5 linked regions of the Callithrix jacchus genome follow. The protein of the gene in region 2 interacts with the protein of the main gene of each other region in a pairwise test. Links are inferred from orthologs where the notes say so. Each region holds a gene or a part of one and is shown on either strand. Other genes may lie near its edges. The genes, in order: CCNDBP1, THAP7, MTUS2, LZTS2 and LURAP1.

Region 1 (3,514 bases), on a different chromosome or scaffold from region 2:
ATGGACTAATATAGAGGCTGGTCCATCAGTTGTTCTGTCTCTCTCTCTCTCTTTTCTGTAAAGGACCAGTTAGTAAATACTTTAGACTTTGTAACCAGCTACCCAACTCTGCCCTTGTAGAGCAAACACAACTACAGACATTTAAACTAATGAGCATGGCTGTGTCCCAATACACTTTATTTACAAAAACAGGCAGTGGGGCCTGAGTTGGCCTGTGGACCACAGTTTGCCAACTGCTGGTCTAAGATATCATGAATATCTTTGGACACAGAGTATCAGGAATAAGTTTTTCCTGCTGTTTCGTAATGGTTTATCGAGTTGTCAGCCCAGTGTATACTATATAGCTAACTCCTCTTTGGTATGTGATCAGTATAGCAGAAGGCCTAACTTCATACCAGGACTTCAGAAAATGTTTGATAATGCTGTAGAAATATCTATTCTAGTCTGGACATGTTGGCTTATGCCTGTAATCCCAATACTTTGAGAGGCCAAGGCAGGTGGATCCCCCAATGTCAGGAGTTCAAGACCAGCATGGCCAACATGGCAAGACCCTATCTCTACTAAAAATACAAAAATTAGCCAGGTGTGGTGGCAGGTGCCTGTAATCCCAGCTACTTGGGAGGCTGAGGCAGGAGAATTGCTTGAACCTGGGAGGTGGAGGTTGCAGTGAGCCAAGGCTGTGCCATTGCACTCCAGCCTGGTTGACAGAGCAAGACTCTGTCTCAAAAAAAAAAAAAAAGAAGAAGAAGAAAAATATTTGCTCTATTCCACAGTAGAAGGATTATGATCTAATCTGTTTCCTTTTTCATAGGAAACCCAGAAGTTCTGTGAACAAGTCCATGCTGCCATCAAGGCATTTATTGCAGTATATTATTTATTTCCAAAGGATCAGGGTAAGCCATATAAGTGTTGCATTTATAGTGTAGATCTTTGCTGATATTGTGGATTATGTCTTGTGATTTTTACCTTTACTCAACTTGAACATGTAACTTTCTCCCATAAAATACAAAGATAATTTTATAATGTAAATAACTTCTATAAACAAGCCATTATTCTAAGATACAGATGCTTTGTTCTATTACTTCCCATCTCCCCTGCCTTGAATGACTCTTACGGCTTTTAATTCTCACAGGCTCCTCCCTCTCAAACCCATTTTTAACACCACAGATACTGGCTGGCTCTCAGCCCCATATGAAGGCTCAGGTCATCCTTACTCTCCTCCACCCATGTTATATCTCACCCTATTTTGGAACATCTTCATAGGTTAAATGGCCTCCAGCCCTGCCTGTAGAATCATGCGTTGATTATAATCATGCCAAAATTATAACTGAATACATGTCATGGATCTTCAGGGTTACTACTCAAGTGGTTTAAACTTCAAGTGTTTCATCTACAGTTGTTAAGAGGTCATGGTCTTTAATGAATGAATACATGGTGTCATGGAAAGATTTTGTTCCAAATCTCTTTTGAAGAAAACACTAAGAAATGGCAGGAGGGGCAAGAAAATGTCATGGGGATGTAAGTAAGACCTGAGTTTTGTGTTAGCATGTAGGTTAAAGCATGTGGATGTACATTATCTTATATTCTGTAATACTTAGACTTGGGAAAGCAGATGCTGCTTCTGAAAAGAACACCAGACTGCTTATTCTTTGGGTTTGGCCACAGGAATCACTCTGAGAAAGCTGATCCGGGGCGCCACCCTGGACATCGTGGATGGCATGGCTCAGCTCATGGAAGTACTTTCCATCACTCCAACTCAGAGGTAGTGATGCCACAGTTTAGGTTATCATTTATTGGGGTTCATTGCCTGAGAGGGGAAAAGCTCATTTTAACAGCAAAGTTATTGACAGCTGAGAGTAATGACCAGCAGGAAGGAGCTTTTTACGAGACAGGAACCTAGGTTATTGATATATCCATACTGATTTCTTTCCCCAGCCCTGAGAACAATGACCTTATTTCCTACAACAGTGTCTGGGTTGCATGCCAGCAGATGCCTAAGATACCAAGAGGTGAGTGAAAATGGGAAGTGGGCCATGTCTGCTGGCCAAAGCAGAGAGACCTCTTCCTGCTTTATAACATGTATATTTGAATTTATATAAACAGTCTAGTGAAATATATATATTATATTACCAAAAGTGATAGGTATTAATACTTCTGTCATTCTTTAGGTTGAACAAATACAGTTTGTTTTCGTAGTCCTACCCCAAGAGTAGTATTACGGAACACACTGAAGCAGTTCTGAGGTAGAGCCAGCTAGGCCAAAACAGTGGTTGTCCAAGAGGACCATGATGTTAAACATCATGTGACCATATCATTTCTTCTTGTGGTAAATAAAATACAAGCTTTTTAAACTCCTGTTTAGATACCAGGGGATGTAGTGAGAAGAATTTTAGATTAAACCACCACCCTTGTCAACCATCCTTGGCACCGCCTTCATTAGGAACAGTGTGGTTGTCCTTTGCAGTTTTAAGAAAATTGTTGGGTTTCTCATCTAATTGTAGTGCCTCTGATCTTTCACTCATAGATAACAAAGCTGCAGCTCTTTTGATGCTGACCAAGAATGTGGACTTTGTGAAGGATGCATATGAAGAAATGGAGCGGGTCAGGGGAACTTCATCGTTGGAAGGCAACTCTTTGACTAGTAGATGATAGTTGATTATAAAGAGAGATTCCCTAAGCATTGACCAGATAGATCTTATTCTCACTACTGTCCTCTGTCTTCCATCTGTCCCTCCTTGTTAGTGTGTGATTTAGTACCACTCCTCTCTGTTCCCTTACTGGACAAGGAGAGCGAAAACAGGGTTTGTGAAGTAATTCAACTCTGTAGCCATTAGTGAAGTGGCTGGCTAAGGTTTTTGGACAACTAAGGCATGGTGCTAAAAGTATAATAGGCCCCTTTTTTATTCTTTTTCTTTTTTTGCATGTACATCATGGTATGTCTTAGGCTGTGGAAGAATGCGACCCTTACTCTGGCCTCTTGAATGATACTGAGGAGAACAACTCCGACAACCACAATGATGAGGATGATGTGTTGGGGTTTCCAAGCAATCAGGACTTGTATTGGTCAGAGGATGATCAAGAACTCATAATCCCATGCCTTGCACTGGTGAGAGCATCCAAAGCCTGCCTGAAGAAAATCCGGATCTTAGTGGCAGAGAATGGGAAGAAGGATCAGGTTGCACAGCTGGATGACATTGTGGATATTTCTGATGAAATCAGCCCTAGGTGAGTGTGAGCCCCACTTGAAACATCTGAGCAGCAGCATTCTGATCTCATTTTGTGCTGTCACCCCAAGGATTCTTCCCAGTTTATTTATATTTTGAAAGTTTTCAAACATATAGGAAAGTTTAAAAAGTACTTCAGTGAACACCCCTACATCCTTCTATTAGATTTGCCTGTTGTTCACATTTTTTCCTATATTGGTTTATTTCTCAAAAGATAGATGTTTCATGTTTATTCCAGAATGTTTTGAGAGTAAATTGCAGAAAGCAATGACATTCACTCATAAATACTT
Region 2 (3,908 bases):
GCCACCGCGCCCGGCCCCGTTTTTCAAATAGAGACAGCAGTGAAGGGAGCAGCGAGGGGGTTGCCCTGTTTACCCACCAGGCAGATGAAGTCTGTGGACAAGCCTGTCATGCACCTGTTTGAGAACTGAATCCAGACTGGGTTTTAGGAGTGTTCTCAAAGGGGCTGGCTGACTTAAATTGGGGCTGTTTCAGATCCTGTGGAAGGGGTGCCTTGAACTGCTTTCCTGGCCCCTACTCACAACATCCTGCCCCCTACTCACAACATCCTGCCCCTTCAGAAAACTGTGGGGCATGGAGCTGCAATGGCTGGCTGCTACCGGTCTACCAGAAGCTCTGAGGGGTGAAAGCCAGGCTTTCTGCTCTCCCTGGCGAAGAGCTTGGACTGAGCTCTTCTGAGAGCAGAGCTGAGAGTGAGCCCTCTGGGAGCTGCAGCCACTGTCTGGGGGCAGCAAGCTTAGTACCCAGAGGGGCTCCAGCCCCCAGCTGAGCCAGACAGCAGGGCCTCCTTCTAGAATCCACTTTATTATGGCACCTGGTGGTTATGGTGGATTCTGAGGGAGAAGGAGGCTGCACCCTTGCTAGGCAGCCCCTCGGTCAGTCCAGTGGCCCCTCCCTCAGGCTATGCTGTTGCTCAGCTGCATGGCAAAGTCCTGTACATGCTCCTTCAGAGTCTGGCGGGCATCTGCCTGTGCCCGCTTCTCCCGTGCCCGCTCCTGCTGCAGCTTGGTCAGTCTCAGCCGCAGCCGCTGCTCCCGTCGCTTGCAGGCCTGCAGCTGGCGCTGGGCCTTGTCGAGGGCATCAAGAGCTGCCTCAGCTCGCCGCTTCCAGAGCAAGGCGCTGCCCACCTGGTAGCTGTGTTCATTCTGGATGTAGGCTCCGGCGGGTGGCGGCAGGCGCAGCATGTAGGCTGAGGGGGAGACTGGCCGTGGCTCGAGAGGGGAGGGCTGTGGCTCTGGTGAAGGCTGGGCACTGCAGCCTGCTTCATCTGCCTGGGCACCCAGGGGGCCCAGAAGGTCTGAAAAGGGGCTGCTAAGGCCAGGCTCCAGCCTCCCAGCTGGGGAGGCTGGCAAAGTGGCAGGTGCTGAGGCCTCTTCCACAGGAAAGCAGGTGACATCAGCAGGTGGAGGTGGAGAAAATGGAGTTGTGGGCCCTCGGCCCTCGGAGCAGCTGGTAAGGGGGAAGAGAGAGGCTGATGGGCTAGGCTGAGGGCCTGCCAGACCCCACTCCACCAGCCCACCTAACCCCCCAACACCCAAACCTGATCCACAGGTTCTGTGCAGCAAGAACCCTGTCCGGCTAGACTGCTGGCAGATGACCCAGAGCCCAGTCCCTTGGCCTAGGGGTGGGAGTGGGGCTTTCCCCACCAGTACCACATACCGCTTCCTGCATCGCCTGAGCCGGGTGACTTCAGTGGGACCAGATGGGTAACTGTGCCCCTTGGTCTTGGATGTCCGGCGCAACTTGGAGAAAGACTCGAATATGGTGGGGACTGCTCCCTCCTTTAGCCTGTGATACCCGCTGTGGGGAAAAGCAGCCCAGATGAGCTGGAGAGCAAGTGCTGCCTCCCCGAGCCAATGTACCCCCGGCACCCTGGAACAGCTTCCCCAGCACTAGCGCCGTGGGAGGCTGGAAAGCATCGTGCAAACAGTAAGTCTCAGGGATGCCAAGTTAGAGCTACACCAATCGCTTCCCTGCAGTACTCCTCAAAGTCGAGGTGTGTGGAAAGCCTGCACAAGCAGAGCTGGGCTGACCTGCCAAAAAGAATTCTTTGATTTGTGGACTCGCTGGCAGGACTGGGGCTCTGAAGAACACTCTCTGGAAAGGCTCATGTTTTTCCCTTGTGTCACTGGCAGTGATCCTGGGGGAGGGTTTCATTGTACAGAGCTCGGAAGAGGATACAGACCCCTTGGAAGCAGGTCGGCCTGCCTGGCAGGCTGCTCAAGGGACTTCCAGGACCTGCAGCTGCCCCAATCCGCCTGAAGCTCCACATCCTACCCCAATGTTGGCTGGCAGGGAGGCCCACCTGATTCCCACCAGCTCAAAGCAGTTCTCCTCAAAGTGTTTGGAGCAGAAGTAGATGTACTCGGATGCTGGGTCCCACAGGCCCTGGCCGCTGGGGTCCAGCCGCTGGCAGTTGGCCAGCCACAAGCCTCGCCTCGGGTTGTCCTTCTTGGGAAGTCTGTGGAGCCACAAACCCATGAGCAGTAGACTGTCCGCAGCCCTGGGCTCATGCTGCCCAAGCTCCCCGCTGGGGAAAAGCAGACCCAACACGCACCGCCACGAGACCTCCCTGCGACCCCGCCGGGTAAGCACCACCCGCCCGGGCACAGACGAAGCAATGGAGGCCTAGAGAAGAAAAGCAGTTTGCTCAGCGTCATCTGGCAGGTAAGAGTCAGAGCGGGGCAGGTCCGAGGCTAGACTTCCCGTTCTCCCCTTCCCGACAGCACTTGGTCCCACTGGGACCATCCCGCTTCACTTCCCACCCACAGGTTCAAGGTTCCTCAGGACCCGAGAAAGGCGCGAAGCGTCTACACAGTTGCGGCCCAACGAGGCGCGCAGCAACCAGCGCATGCGCACGTCAGCCCGCGCACGCGCGCCGACCTGTGGAAGGAGATGCCGCGGCTGCGCGTCTCGCGCGTGTCCCGTGTGCAGCAGCCGGCGGCGGAGCAGTGACGCGGCATCTAGGGAAGAGGCGGGAGTTAAGTCGCGAGTGGCTGTCTGGGGATCCAGAGGAGCCTCGCGCCTTCAGCCGCCGCTCCTCCCCAGGGGGGTTCTGGCCCGTGGAGTCTACCCCGGCTCCCGGCTTGTTCTCGCCCCACCCAGTCCCAGCCGGTTCTCTAGACTCCCGTCAGCAGCACTCACGATCTGTCCATTGCTGCGCCGCCGAAGTCTCGCGAGGGGTGGCGCGCGCCGGAAGTTGGTACCATAGAGACTGGAAAGTCGGCGGTGCTCCGCCCTTAGGGCGGGGCGGGGCGGGGCGAAGTCCTATTGAGTTGGATTCGGAAGCGGTGCGAGCGTGCGAGTTCTAGTCGCGCCTGCGTCGTCTCCGTTCCCAGACTACCAGTGTTGTCACACACGTGGGCTCCTCTTTCGTCCGTTCAGGGCTCACTCTTCTCTGTAAACACCCCGGCACGATGGAGCGACCCCAGTGTACGGGTCGGCCTGGGAGCGGATGGCGGCGGTGCCCTGGGAACCTCGAAAGCCGCGGGGGCGACAGCTCGCCTCGGAAAGACTTGACTGAAGAAAGAAAACGGGGCCTGGGACGCTTGCCCAAGAGAACCTGACAGAAACCAGAGCCTGCACTCACTGCCGAGTACCGGGGGACTTGAGGGAGGGCGAGGAATGCCCCAGACTACACTGGGGACGTGCGCTGGGCAGGAGGTTTCATTGTAGCCACTTTGGGGGCGTGACGGAGTCGGGAAGAAGCTGAGGATGCGGGTGGAAAGGTAGCGTCAGGAACTGCAGTGCTCAGCCTGCGGAGTCCTTGGACACATGATCCGGCGGGCTGCCTAACCTGAGCCCTCACCTCTTCCCCTAAGACTCAGTGAAAATAGCCACTCCATTTAAGGACTTCAGAAGGTTTAAATGTAAAATAATAGGCCAGGCGCTGTGCCTTACGCTTGTTAATCTCAGACTTTTGGGATGCTGAGGCAGGCGCATCACGAGGTCAGGAAATCGAGACCATCCTGGCCAACATGGTGAAACCCCGTCTCTGCTAAAAATACAATAATAATAATAATAATAGTAATAATTGGGTGTGGTGGCATGCGCCTGTAGTTCCAGCCACTCCGGAGGCTGAGGCAGGAGAATCGCTTGGACCCGGGAGGCAGAGTCTGCAGTGAGCCTAGATCACGTCACTGCACTCCAGCCTGGGCGACAGAGTGAGACTCCGTCTGAAAAGACAAAA
Region 3 (3,514 bases), on a different chromosome or scaffold from region 2:
GGACACCCTAGTTTCCGTGTTTTGATGTTACAGAAATGGTGCTGTAACAGAGCTTTGGACTGGTCTGCATGAGTGAGACACGAAGGGTGAAGCGCTTCTTGGGCATCAGTGGTCCTTTGCCAGCCTGTGGTGTGGGGAGTCATGGGCAGGCTGAGTGGGACAGAGTCAGCGCAGGTGCATCTGCCCTGGGAGCTGGGGAAGGGGCATGGTGTCCCCATAGACACTCCTGCTTTCCTTCAACCTGCAGGTGGAGAGCCGCCAGCTGCCCCCCTAGCTGACGGGCATGGGAAGGCAGAGGGCTGGGAGTGCCAGTCTGGCCAGGGAGCGGGTCTCAGCAGGGAGGAGGAGACTGTGTGGACTCAGCTTCCATGTGAGCTCCTATCAGGGACATGAAACCCAGCTGTCAGGCCAGGAAGGCTGCGTGGGAGCCAGAATGAAGCAGGAGTGAGAGGCAGCTGGCTGGAGGAGGGCACTGCCAGCAGGAGAGCTGGCGTGAGAGGAGAGGGAGGCAGCGAGGCGGGAGGGTGCTGCGTTAGGGAGTGTACACGGCACCTTGAGGGCAGTGGGGTAGGAGGTCGGGGAAGGACAGGTTCCGCTTTGCACATTAGAAAGAGGGCTTGACTGCAGCGTGAGGGTAAAGGAGTGATACTTCAGGAGAAAGAAGAATCGTGTCAGGATGGAGCCAGCCGAGTGGCTGAGCTCAGGGGAGTCTGTGGCTTCTAGGGACATTCAGGAGGCAGGATAGCAGGGCTCGGTGGCCAGAAGGTTTGGTGATGTGAGAGGGATCCCAAGGCAGAGAAAGAAGTGAAGGAGGGTTGGAAGGGTTCTGGATTGAGCTTCATAAATGAGAATGATTCTTTGAAGTACCTTCACTGTGGTCCTTCCCAAAGCCAGGGCTGGGTGCCTCCTGGCCCAGACGCCTCTCCCTGAGGATTGTCTGCTTCTATAGGATCAGATGTTGTGAGATGCCCCCCGGTTCACAGTGTTTTTGTGGTTTCTTCCTGACAAAGAGCCAAGAAGGGCAAGCCACGGGTAGGCGTTGGGGGAAACCATGCCCATCATGTGATTTTGGGGGTCCCCTTGGGCACCTCTTTCTTCAGTCCCAAGGGAGACACTCTAAGGATGCTGAAGAAAGTGGTGGCCTGCTGATTGAAGCTGCCCCAGCTGTGGCAGCGGCAGGCTGTAGCGCCCCCAGCTGGACTCCTCATGTCATTACTCCAGGACCAGGTGGACACGCTGACCTTCCAGAGCCAGTCTCTGCGGGACAGAGCACGCCGCTTCGAAGAGGCCTTGAGGAAGAGCACGGAGGAGCAGCTGGAGGTAGTTTCGGGATTCCAGGCTTCCAGCCCCAGGCCACGGGACTCCCTCAGCAGTCTTGTCCCAAGACAAGGCCTCTCTGTGAATCCCTTGCTGAAGTGACAGCTGGTCACGACCTCCCCTGGATTTGTAAACAATTTCTGTCAGCACATCTCCCCAGAGTCAGACAGCAGCTGTGGATTTCTCCAGCTACGTGTTATTTTTGCCAAATTCCACAGCATTGCCCAGCCGAGGTTCCGGGGCCCCTGTGATCAGCATGGTCCGGCAACCCCCGACCCTTGCCCGACCACCCCTTCCATCTCATTCTCCCCCAGCTTTTTAGGCTGACACGGGCAGCCTTGGCTACAGCAGGAGTTAATAGGTTGAGGGGAATTTTTTTCAGGAAATCTGGCAAAACTCCTTCTCTCTAACGTAGGGTTGCCAAATAAGATACAAGACACGCAGTTAAATTTGAATTACAGGTAAATAAATTTTTGAGTCTAAGTATGTCCCAAGCAATACTTGTGCTCACTTTTTTAAAACGTGCTTTATCTGAAATTTGAATTTAACAGGACATACCATGTTTTAATTTGCTATATCCAGCAGCACTACTGTAATGTGTCTTTTTCCAAAATGGCTTTTCTGCTTCTTAAGCCACTCTGCTCATTTCCTGTGCATGGGCTCTTTATGGGTATAGGTGGGACCCAGAAGAGCCCCAGCTACCAGTCATCCAGGTGAATGTTAAAGGCTAGTGTTGGGTTTACTCTTTCGACCCATGAGTTCCCTGCTGGGCATGGGCTGGCAGCATCCAGCATTTCCGGAATCAAACTTCCCAGTGGACGATGGCTGTGTGTCACCTGCTCCCGCACAGAATGGGTTCCCAGGGGGAAGCAGCAGGACCCCTTCATCAGGGAAGACTGCGAGCATCCTCTGTCTTTGCTGTGCAATTGCTATTGGGGCGTTGGTCCAGAGGCTGGATTTAGCTGGATTAGTGATATTGGTTAATACTGGGTTTTGCCGGGAGCCCCGGTCAACATTTTATGGCTCTCTGCCCCTGTAGATTGCACTGGCTCCTTATCAGCACTTGGAAGAAGACATGAAGAGTCTGAAGCAGGTATTAGAGATGAAGAATCAGCAAATACACGAGCAGGAAAAGAAGATTCTTGAGCTGGAAAAGCTGGTGAGTTGGTCTGTTTGCATGGGAGTGACTAACCTCCATGACGCTCCTCCTGTCGTTCCTGATGTCATTGCTGATGGTGTTCGGCCAGGTGTGTCCCTTACCTGCCCATTGCTTATACCTAAGCAGAAAATCCCATGGCTGGCCTTTCCTGGGAAGCCAGGAGCTCTGATAAGAAATCTTAGAGGTGGCCTCACCTTGTCCAACTCTGAAACCTTCCTGACAGGCGGCCTCTTTCTGCTTCACCCTGGTTTTCTGGCAATTGCACTGTCTCTACACCCTGTCTTGGGGACATGTGGTGACCCAGCAGGATACAGCATCTCCAGTGCCCAGGCACTGCACAGAGCACTTTCCCTGAGTGAGCCTGCTCCTAACTCCGACAGCTGCCTGTGGAGCAGCTGCTGCCATGAGCCGCTTTACAGATGCCGGAGATGGTGCTAAGGAGCCCCTGCCCAGTGCTTCGAGTCCCCACAAGGCAGAAGGGGCCAGGGATCTTCCTGGGGCCCTTTTTATAAGGGTATTAATCCCATTCACAGGGGCTCACCTTCTGGATCTGATCCCCTCCCCAAAGCTCCGCCTCCTTGGGGGTTAGGTTTCAGCACAGGAATTTTGGGGGACACAAACATTCAGCCCAGAACAGCGTCCCTGCTCTCACTGACACTCACCCAGCTCAGCCCACCAGCCTGGCTCCTGCAGAGCTGGCAAAAGTCACCCCCTAGGGGACACAGAACACGCAGGATTTCACCCCCTACGCTGGGGCACAAGCATCCACCCCACCCCCCCATCACCCCCACCCTCCCTGGCCAGGGCTAGAGTCCCAGAAAGGTGTGCAAAGGGAGTGGCAGGGAAGCCTCCTTCCAAGGGCAGCCCATCTTGATCTGGAAGTTGGCCCCAGGATCTCAGATTCTTATTTTTTCCCTTTATTATTATTACTTTAAAAATACACTTTTGATACTACCAAAAATAATATATGTACTTTGGGAAACTATGAAATAAGATAAACCGAAGAAAAGCAGATTATAACATCATATTCCTACCAGT
Region 4 (3,514 bases), on a different chromosome or scaffold from region 2:
CCGCGGAGCGGGAACTCGTGATCGCAGACTTGACCCCGCTTGACTGGTTCTTGGAGTTTGGGTGGGAGGGAGACTTTGCCCAACTCTTCAGACCCCTCGCCGGCCCTGGACGAGCTCCAGCCCTCCGCTCCCCACAGCCCGCTAAAAGGGGGATGCTCCTGGGTCAGAGTGATTGCTTAGGGAGTGCTGAGGAGAATGAGGGGTTCCCATCTCCCACAGCCACAAACGCATTTCTCAAAATGGAGCCGCCACTTGCCCCTCCTTCTCTCTCGGGCTCCAAGAGCGGGAGCCGGGCCGGCTGGGCCTGGCTTTCCAGACTCCTGGCTCTGGCTCCCTGGGTGTGTGGCTCTCAGGGCCCAGCTCTGTGGCACTTTGGACTTAGGGGCCCTCGGCTCCATGGGGTTGGGGGGCCCTGGCTCACTGGGTCTGCCTGGCTTTCTCCTTGTCAGCCTGACCCTCGGGCCTCTCCGAGTCTTTGTCTCTTTTGGGTTCCTGTCTTTCTCTGAGTCTGTCTCCTTCCTTCAGTTTTCACTTTCTCCCTGCTCGATGAAGTGGGGAAATACAGCAGAGGTGCCAGCCCCCTGGGCCCCCTAAGTCCCTTCCCCACTGTTCTTTCCATACCCTGGAGTGGACCCAGAGACGGGAGGGGAGGGGAAGGGGTTCTCTATCTGCTCTGCTCGGGGCTGAGACCGGTGGGGTGGTCTGAGCTGCAGCCCTGCATAGAGGCCTGTGATTGCTCCCTGGGCCTGGCTCACCCCTCCCCCAGCTCCCCACAGCTCTGGCCCCAGCCTGAACACCTCTTCCTGGTTCGCAGTGTCTTTTGACTTGGGTGGGAAGGAGGGCAGTGGATTTAATGGAGCGCATACGAGAAAGAAGGGGAACAGATCAGGCAAAGGAGTTAATGTCCCACCTCTCCCCACATGCCAGAGGGGGAAGGAAAGAGGCTCCCTTCACCAGCTGGTCCTCAAGCCACCCAGGCTCCCACCACTCTGGTACCTACCTGCCCACATTTACAGGCTCACCTGCACACCCTGGTGCACTCACCTTTCTAGTCACACACTCAAACACTTAGGAGCTCACACATAAACTCATATGCTGACGCATCTGTCCAGGCACCGTCTCATCCACACACCACAAATTCACATTTATAACTTTCACAGGCTTTCTAAGAATGACCCCTTACCCATGTACTTTTGTAAGATATACACATGTGAATTCACACGGGAACTCGTGTGTGAATGTGCTGATAACATCAAACATGCATAGACTCACATTCATATTTTCACACACATTTTCGTATATACACATGGTGTTCATTTCCATGCTCCTGTGCATGTAGTCACACAACAAATAACTAAATGCACACACTCCTACTCCCAGTGCAATTCTCTGTCCACTTCTTGGCCCCGCTCTGCATGATGACTTCAGCAGATGCCTAAGTCCTGGTCATCAGTGGCCTCAGGACTGGGAGTAGGGAGGGGGTTCCGGGTGGAGGCTCACATCTGCTTCCTGGAAGGAGCAGGGCCTGGGGAGGTGGAGCCCTCTTGCCTGGGCTCCCTGGAAGTGAGGCTTTGGAGCAGCCGACAAAGGTGAAGGCGGGGCATCTACCTTCCTCCCCTCAGGGTTTCTCTGGGGACCTTCTAAAGCCGTAGGGTTTCACAGAGGTTGGTAGTGGGGCAGAGCCTGTGGAGGCTCCTTTAGGCCTGATTGGATGTGCAGAGGCTAGGAGTTGTCATGGAAACTGGTATGAGCCTGCATCCACCTCTGGGAGGCAGGAGACCCTGAAGGACACCTGTGGACTCCCTAAGAGCCATGGGTTTCTTATTTAGCCAGATCCACAGAGAGGCAGTTTAGCCGCCTCTCTGGGAGAAACTGAGGCCCAGCAGGGGGAGGCAGGGCACTGCCTGGCCTTGGCTCTTTATTCCCTAATTACCATCTCAGGTGCTGATTGCAACCTTGAGGTGCCTCTGCCCAGACTACCCTGTAATGAGGCCACCTGGCTCAGAGGGCCAGAGACCTGTGCTGGGAGCTGCTAGAGAGGGCCCCTCCCTCACCTGAGTCCTGGCCTCTGGGGAGGATGCAGGATTGGGCTTGGGCCTGGGTCTTTGCTGCCAAGTGGCCTTGTGGTCATTACCTCAGCATCTCTGCTGAGTGAACTCAATCCTTAGCCCTGTTTAGACCTACATTGGGCACTGTGGTCTGGGGCCCAGGGGGAATTGAGGTTCATGCCAGCACTTGAAGGGGGAGTCTCGGTGGGGATCAGGGCTTGTTACTGATGTCAAGGAGGCATCAGTTACTTGGGCTTGTTACTGGGTCAGGAGGGGTCTCAAGGTAGAGGGACTCTGACACCACTGCCCTGCTTACAGGTCACCTGCGAGGCCGCTGGCCAGGCCTGAGCCTCTGCCACCATGGCCATCGTGCAGACTCTGCCAGTGCCACTGGAACCTGCTCCTGAAGCTGCCACTGCCCCACAAGCACCAGCCATGGGCAGTGTGAGCAGCCTAATCTCAGGCCGGCCCTGCCCTGGGGGACCAGCTCCTCCCCGCCACCATGGCCCTCCTGGGCCCACCTTCTTCCGCCAGCAGGATGGCCTGCTTCGGGGTGGCTATGAGGCACAGGAGCCGCTATGCCCAGCTGTGCCCCCCAGGAAGGCTGTCCCTGTCACCAGCTTCACCTATGTCAACGAGGACTTCCGGACAGAGTCACCCCCCAGCCCAAGCAGTGATGTGGAGGATCCCCGGGAGCAGCGGGCACGCAATGCCCACCTCCGTGGCCCACCACCAAAGCTCATCCCTGTCTCTGGAAAGCTGGAAAAGGTGAGGACTGGCTTTTCCTTGTGTGCCTGGGTAACATCGGGAGCTCCCCTTGGGAAACTGGAATTTAGAAGCCTATATCGAGGAAAGAGTGTGGGCTCCAGAGTCACCAGACTGGGTCCTAGTCCCAGCTGTCTCTCATTCTGGCTGTGTGACCTCAGGGAAGTCACTTAACCTGAGCCTCAGTTTCTATAACTGAAATGAAGGTCAAATAACGTATAGTATAGTGCCTGGCATGTAGCATGTGTGCAGTACGTGCTAGTTGCTTACATTCTGGTTATTCTGCACCAGCTATACATTTGACTTTGGGCAAGGCCTTTCACCTTGCTGAACCTCCATTTCCTCATCTGTGATATGGGGATAGTGATAATATTTAGATAATGGGGATGAACCTTTCAATTGCTTGACACAAAGCTGACACTCAGGAGGCTTTCCGCCCATGGCTGCAATTGTTATGACTATATGGCATTAGGGACCCTAGATGGGAGGGCAGGGAGTGTCATAAGGGCTCTGCAAGATTGGGCAGCTTATCCCCAGTGTCACATGGCACCTCATTTCAGAACATGGAGAAGATCCTGATCCGCCCAACAGCCTTCAAGCCAGTGCTGCCCAGACCTCGAGGGGCTCCGTCCCTGCCTAGCTTCATGGGTCCTCGGGCCACCGGGCTGTCTGGGAGCCAGGGCAGCCTGACGCAGCTGTTT
Region 5 (3,958 bases), on a different chromosome or scaffold from region 2:
TGCCTATTGGGAGTGGGCCTAGAGGTATGAAAGGGTAGATAGAGCAGGAGTAACTATCTTCTCATTGTAAATCCTTCTGCAACCATGGACTGGAATTTCTTGAATTAAAAGACCAAACAAACCAAAGTTTTCATGGCTGTTCACTGCCTGTTAAATAAAATCCAAACATCTCAGAACCATCTTCTGTAACCTTGTTACTCAAAGTGTGGTCCCTTATTACTTGAAGTGTGGACCAGCAGCATGGCCATCACCTGAGAGCTTATTAGAAATGCAGGATCTTAGCCAGGTGCAGTGGCTTACATCTGTAATCCCAGCATTTTGGGAGTCTGAGGCAGGTGGATCATTTGAGGCCAGGAGTTCAAGACCAGCCTGGCCAACATGGTGAAACCCTGTCTCTACTAAAAATACAAAAAAATTAGTCAGGTGCGGTTGCATGCCTGTAATGCCAGCTACCTGGGAGGCAGAGGCAGGAGAATCGCTTGAATTCAGGGAGGCAGAAGTTGCAGTGAGCCGAGATCACGCCACTGTACTCCAGCCTGAGTGACGGAGCCAGACTCCTCTCAGAAAAAAAAGAAAAGAAAAAAATGCAGGCTCTCAGCCACCACCCCAAATTTACAAAATCAGAATCTTTATTTTAACAAGATCCGCAGATAATTCATATGCAGTCAAGCTTAAGGAGCATCTTGCTTATAAGCCCAATGTGGACCTCTTCAGCTTCGATAGTGGTTGCCCCTTTCTACTCCGTTAGTCTGAATTCTAGCCCCTGCGGTGTGTGTGTGTCTAGCTAAAATCCAGCTGCCGTTTTAGAGCTAGTTCCTCTGCTCCAGGAAGACTTCCAAGCCCTCTGCAGCTCTCTGTTACCACTGTTCCTTAAACTCCCACATCTCTGACTGACTGAAGCTGCTTAGGCTTCATTCTGCAAACATGTATTGGGCGCCTGCTGTGTGCCTGGCTGGATTCAGTGCCAGGATGGGGTGAAGGCGCTGAGGTCTCCGAGTGCTCTTTCAGGTTCAAATCCAGAATCGCCCAGCCCCACGCAATCCGGGGCCAGAGGTTGTGCGCAGCACTCGAATATATATCTACAGGCGGTGCTGCGCGGCTTTTCTGAGTGTTACGGCGCCCTCCTCCCACCCCCGCACCGTGCGGGCGGGGACCCACGGTTTCTGCTCCGCATTAGCTTCGGCGAAGGGAGGACCACCGGGAGCTGGTCCCGGGCGTCAGGTCGTCCGGCCCTTTTCAGGCTTGGGCCCGCATGGAGGGTACCGTGGAGTTCCAGACGCCTGATCTGCGGGATGTGGAGGGTAAGGTGGGCAGGAAGACCCCTGAAGGGCTGCTCCGCGGGCTGCGAGGCGAGTGTGAGCCGGGAACCTCTGGCGCCCTGCTGCTCCCAGGGGCGCCTAGCACCGGCCACGGCTTGGGGGACAAGATCATGGCGCTGAAGATGGAGTTGGTGAGTGCAGACTCCATGGACCAAGGGGACGAGTCCCCAGTGTAGGGCCGGGAGGGACAAACTCACGCTCCCAAGTTAGGCTGGAGAGGAGGTAGTTAAAACTCTCCATCTAACTGCTCAGAATCCCTCCCAGATCAATCAGTAAGCGCTGGGGTGGAGGTGGAGTGACGTCCATTAATTGTCCCCCAAGAGTGAGTGGGGTGTTGATGGGTCCTGAGGACTTGGGGTGGGAGACAATGGTTCTTGGAAGTTATTCCTGCCAAATAATTGGGAGGAGAGAGATGAGGACGGAAATACCGAGAACCCAACGCAGCACAAATTCCCCCCGCCCGTCTGGGCCACCTTTTCCCCGCCAGTCCCCGTTGTAAGGCAACCAGTTTTTTCTCCTGCTAACCGGGAAAGGGTTTAGTTTCTGTGAGACCGCAGTGTTCAGCACAGGGTTAAGGGGTATATCTGCTGAAAACTACCTGGACTAGGAGCATTGAAAACCTCCTCCGTTTCCCCTGCATCTCCCAGCCCTACTTAAAATAATGGAAAGTTCTTAAACCTATAGCAGGGACAGAGAGTAGCAGCACCATTGGTGCCGATTCCCTCACCTCAGACTCAGTCTCCTCCCAGCCAATCTCCCAGGTAAACTGGATATTTGGATCTCATCTGTACATTCTTAGGGAGAAGAGGAAACAACAACCCTCCACTCTCTCTGTTTCTGCTGGTCTAGATTCAAAGCCAAAAGGGCAGCTGGGGCCCTGGCAGGCTCCCCAGAGCCCTGATTCCCATGAAGTAGGTGATTTATACCTGCCACTACTTTGCATCCAGCTCTGGGGAACTGAGGAATTGCCATTGGCTCCCTGGCTCACAGCCAGGAGCCCACGGTGAAGTTCCTCAGCTAATAAGTCTTACTGGAGCCCCCACTGTGTGCCCAGCCTGTGCCAAGCTGGTCTGTGAAGCATCAGGAGAAGGAAGTCATGGAGGTTCTGAGACCAGCAAGGGCTCTGATGCCTGAGCTGAGAGGCTGGGAGGAGAGTCTGGTGGGTGGAGCAGTCAGGGAAGGCCCCCTGGGAGAAGGACATGAATGCCAAGTGTGCACTTGGCCTTGAAGGTTGGAGGTGAGTGCCAAATTCTCCAGAGCAAGGCTGTGACTGTACTCACCTAAGCGGGGAGAGTGGGCTTGGCTTTGCCTCATTGTACAAACTTTAGCTCAAGGCCCTATCTAGACTGTCTAGTTGTTTTGAAAACTAACTTTCACCCAGCACATGTGCCAGGCAGATTGCTGAGCACTTTACATGATACTCTCTTCATCTCCACAGTAACCCTGTTAAGTAAGTGATATTTTATAGATGAAGAAACTGAGGCACGGGGTGGGCATGGTGGCTCACGCCTGTAATCCCAGCATATTGGGAGACTGAGGCAGGCAGATTGCTTGAGCCTAGGAGTTTGAGACCAGCCTGGGCAACAAAGTGAGGCCCTGTATCTATAAAAAATACAAAAATTAGATGGGCATTGTGGTGCATGCCTATAGTCCCAGCTACTCTGGAGGCAGAGGCAGGAGGATTGCTTGAGCCCAGAAGGAGGAGGAGGTTGCAGTGAGTTGAAGTCGCACCACTGCATTCTGGCCTGGGTGACAGAGCTCAGAGCTAGATCCTGTCTCAAAAAAAGAAAAGGAAGGAGGGAAGGAAGAGAGGACGGAAGGGAAGAAAAAAGAAGAGAAAAGAAAAAGTAGAGGGACAGCGAATTTAAATGACTACCCACAATCATGTAAAAAGCAGGGCCAGGATTTGAACCCAGATCTGCAGACTGCACTTTACATCTTTATCTTTGAGACCTACTTTGTGCCAGATATTCTAAAGACATTTTATGTCATGGAAATGAGAAAACTGGCCATCATTTCTCCCATCTTGCAGATGAAACATTCTTGCAGATTTTGGGGGTTTGTTTGAACTCACATAGGGAGTCACTGGAAGAGCCACGCCTAGTCTCTCTGGCTCTAACTCTTTTCTGCCTTGGTGGAAACTATCTGTAAACTTTAAGGGGCTGCATTTAACTTCTGATTTTGTCTCTGTATTCTTGACCCAGCTTGCCTGGGGCCTGAGGCTGCCCGAGGAAGGATACAAGGCAGGGAGCCTTCTGGGGCCAGAACAAGGAGAGATCCCCACCCTATTTCTTCTCCCTCCTCAGGCCAGGATGTTATTAATATTAATCTCCTTCTGTGCTCTGCCCTGCCTACTGGGTTGCACCCAGGAAGGACAAGGGGTGGGGCAGAGGATTTTCTTTGGAGCCACTGAAGGCAGGCCTGGTTCAAGTCCTCTAAGGCTGTCCTTCAATTGTTCCTCTCCCAGCTCTCCTTGCACAGAGGCGAGGCTGAAGGCCTACCCTTGAGGCCAAGGTCAGTCCTGCCACTAGGCCTGTTCTCTCCTGCTTTCTTCCTCTACCCCCCATTCAGAGGTTAAGTGAACAAGCCAGACTGGGATATGTGGGAATGGGAAACAGTAGCAACTTTTCTTAGTTCTC

What was found.
Region 1: the proteins of THAP7 (region 2) and CCNDBP1 interact in binary tests that used the Homo sapiens proteins (3 or more experiments, as listed by UniProt). The two-hybrid records come from large-scale screens. The link is inferred for Callithrix jacchus from reciprocal best matches to the Homo sapiens genes THAP7 and CCNDBP1.
Region 3: the proteins of THAP7 (region 2) and MTUS2 interact in binary tests that used the Homo sapiens proteins (3 or more experiments, as listed by UniProt). The two-hybrid records come from large-scale screens. The link is inferred for Callithrix jacchus from reciprocal best matches to the Homo sapiens genes THAP7 and MTUS2.
Region 4: the proteins of THAP7 (region 2) and LZTS2 interact in binary tests that used the Homo sapiens proteins (3 or more experiments, as listed by UniProt). The two-hybrid records come from large-scale screens. The link is inferred for Callithrix jacchus from reciprocal best matches to the Homo sapiens genes THAP7 and LZTS2.
Region 5: the proteins of THAP7 (region 2) and LURAP1 interact in a two-hybrid assay, tested with the Homo sapiens proteins (2 studies listed by BioGRID and IntAct). The two-hybrid records come from large-scale screens. The link is inferred for Callithrix jacchus from reciprocal best matches to the Homo sapiens genes THAP7 and LURAP1.

The regions. Positions count from the first base shown.
Region 1 is NC_133509.1:30,928,586-30,932,099, forward strand, and holds part of CCNDBP1 (cyclin-D1-binding protein 1), read left to right. Parts: intron 1-811; coding exon 812-893; intron 894-1,665; coding exon 1,666-1,762; intron 1,763-1,935; coding exon 1,936-2,009; intron 2,010-2,524; coding exon 2,525-2,601; intron 2,602-2,944; coding exon 2,945-3,225; intron 3,226-3,514. UniProt on the Homo sapiens protein: May negatively regulate cell cycle progression. May act at least in part via inhibition of the cyclin-D1/CDK4 complex, thereby preventing phosphorylation of RB1 and blocking E2F-dependent transcription.
Region 2 is NC_133502.1:193,118,802-193,122,709, reverse strand, and holds THAP7 (THAP domain-containing protein 7), read right to left. Parts: upstream 2,582-3,908; 5' UTR 2,573-2,581; coding exon 2,489-2,572; intron 2,348-2,488; coding exon 2,025-2,347; intron 1,520-2,024; coding exon 1,379-1,519; intron 1,169-1,378; coding exon 616-1,168; 3' UTR 504-615; downstream 1-503. UniProt on the Homo sapiens protein: Chromatin-associated, histone tail-binding protein that represses transcription via recruitment of HDAC3 and nuclear hormone receptor corepressors.
Region 3 is NC_133506.1:148,703,555-148,707,068, forward strand, and holds part of MTUS2 (microtubule-associated tumor suppressor candidate 2), read left to right. Parts: intron 1-1,221; coding exon 1,222-1,320; intron 1,321-2,356; coding exon 2,357-2,476; intron 2,477-3,514. UniProt on the Homo sapiens protein: Binds microtubules. Together with MAPRE1 may target the microtubule depolymerase KIF2C to the plus-end of microtubules. May regulate the dynamics of microtubules at their growing distal tip.
Region 4 is NC_133513.1:93,956,882-93,960,395, forward strand, and holds part of LZTS2 (leucine zipper putative tumor suppressor 2), read left to right. Parts: intron 1-2,366; 5' UTR 2,367-2,408; coding exon 2,409-2,816; intron 2,817-3,373; coding exon 3,374-3,514. UniProt on the Homo sapiens protein: Negative regulator of katanin-mediated microtubule severing and release from the centrosome. Required for central spindle formation and the completion of cytokinesis.
Region 5 is NC_133508.1:82,977,106-82,981,063, forward strand, and holds the start of LURAP1 (leucine rich adaptor protein 1), read left to right. Parts: upstream 1-1,158; 5' UTR 1,159-1,252; coding exon 1,253-1,450; intron 1,451-3,958. UniProt on the Homo sapiens protein: Acts as an activator of the canonical NF-kappa-B pathway and drive the production of pro-inflammatory cytokines. Promotes the antigen (Ag)-presenting and priming function of dendritic cells via the canonical NF-kappa-B pathway.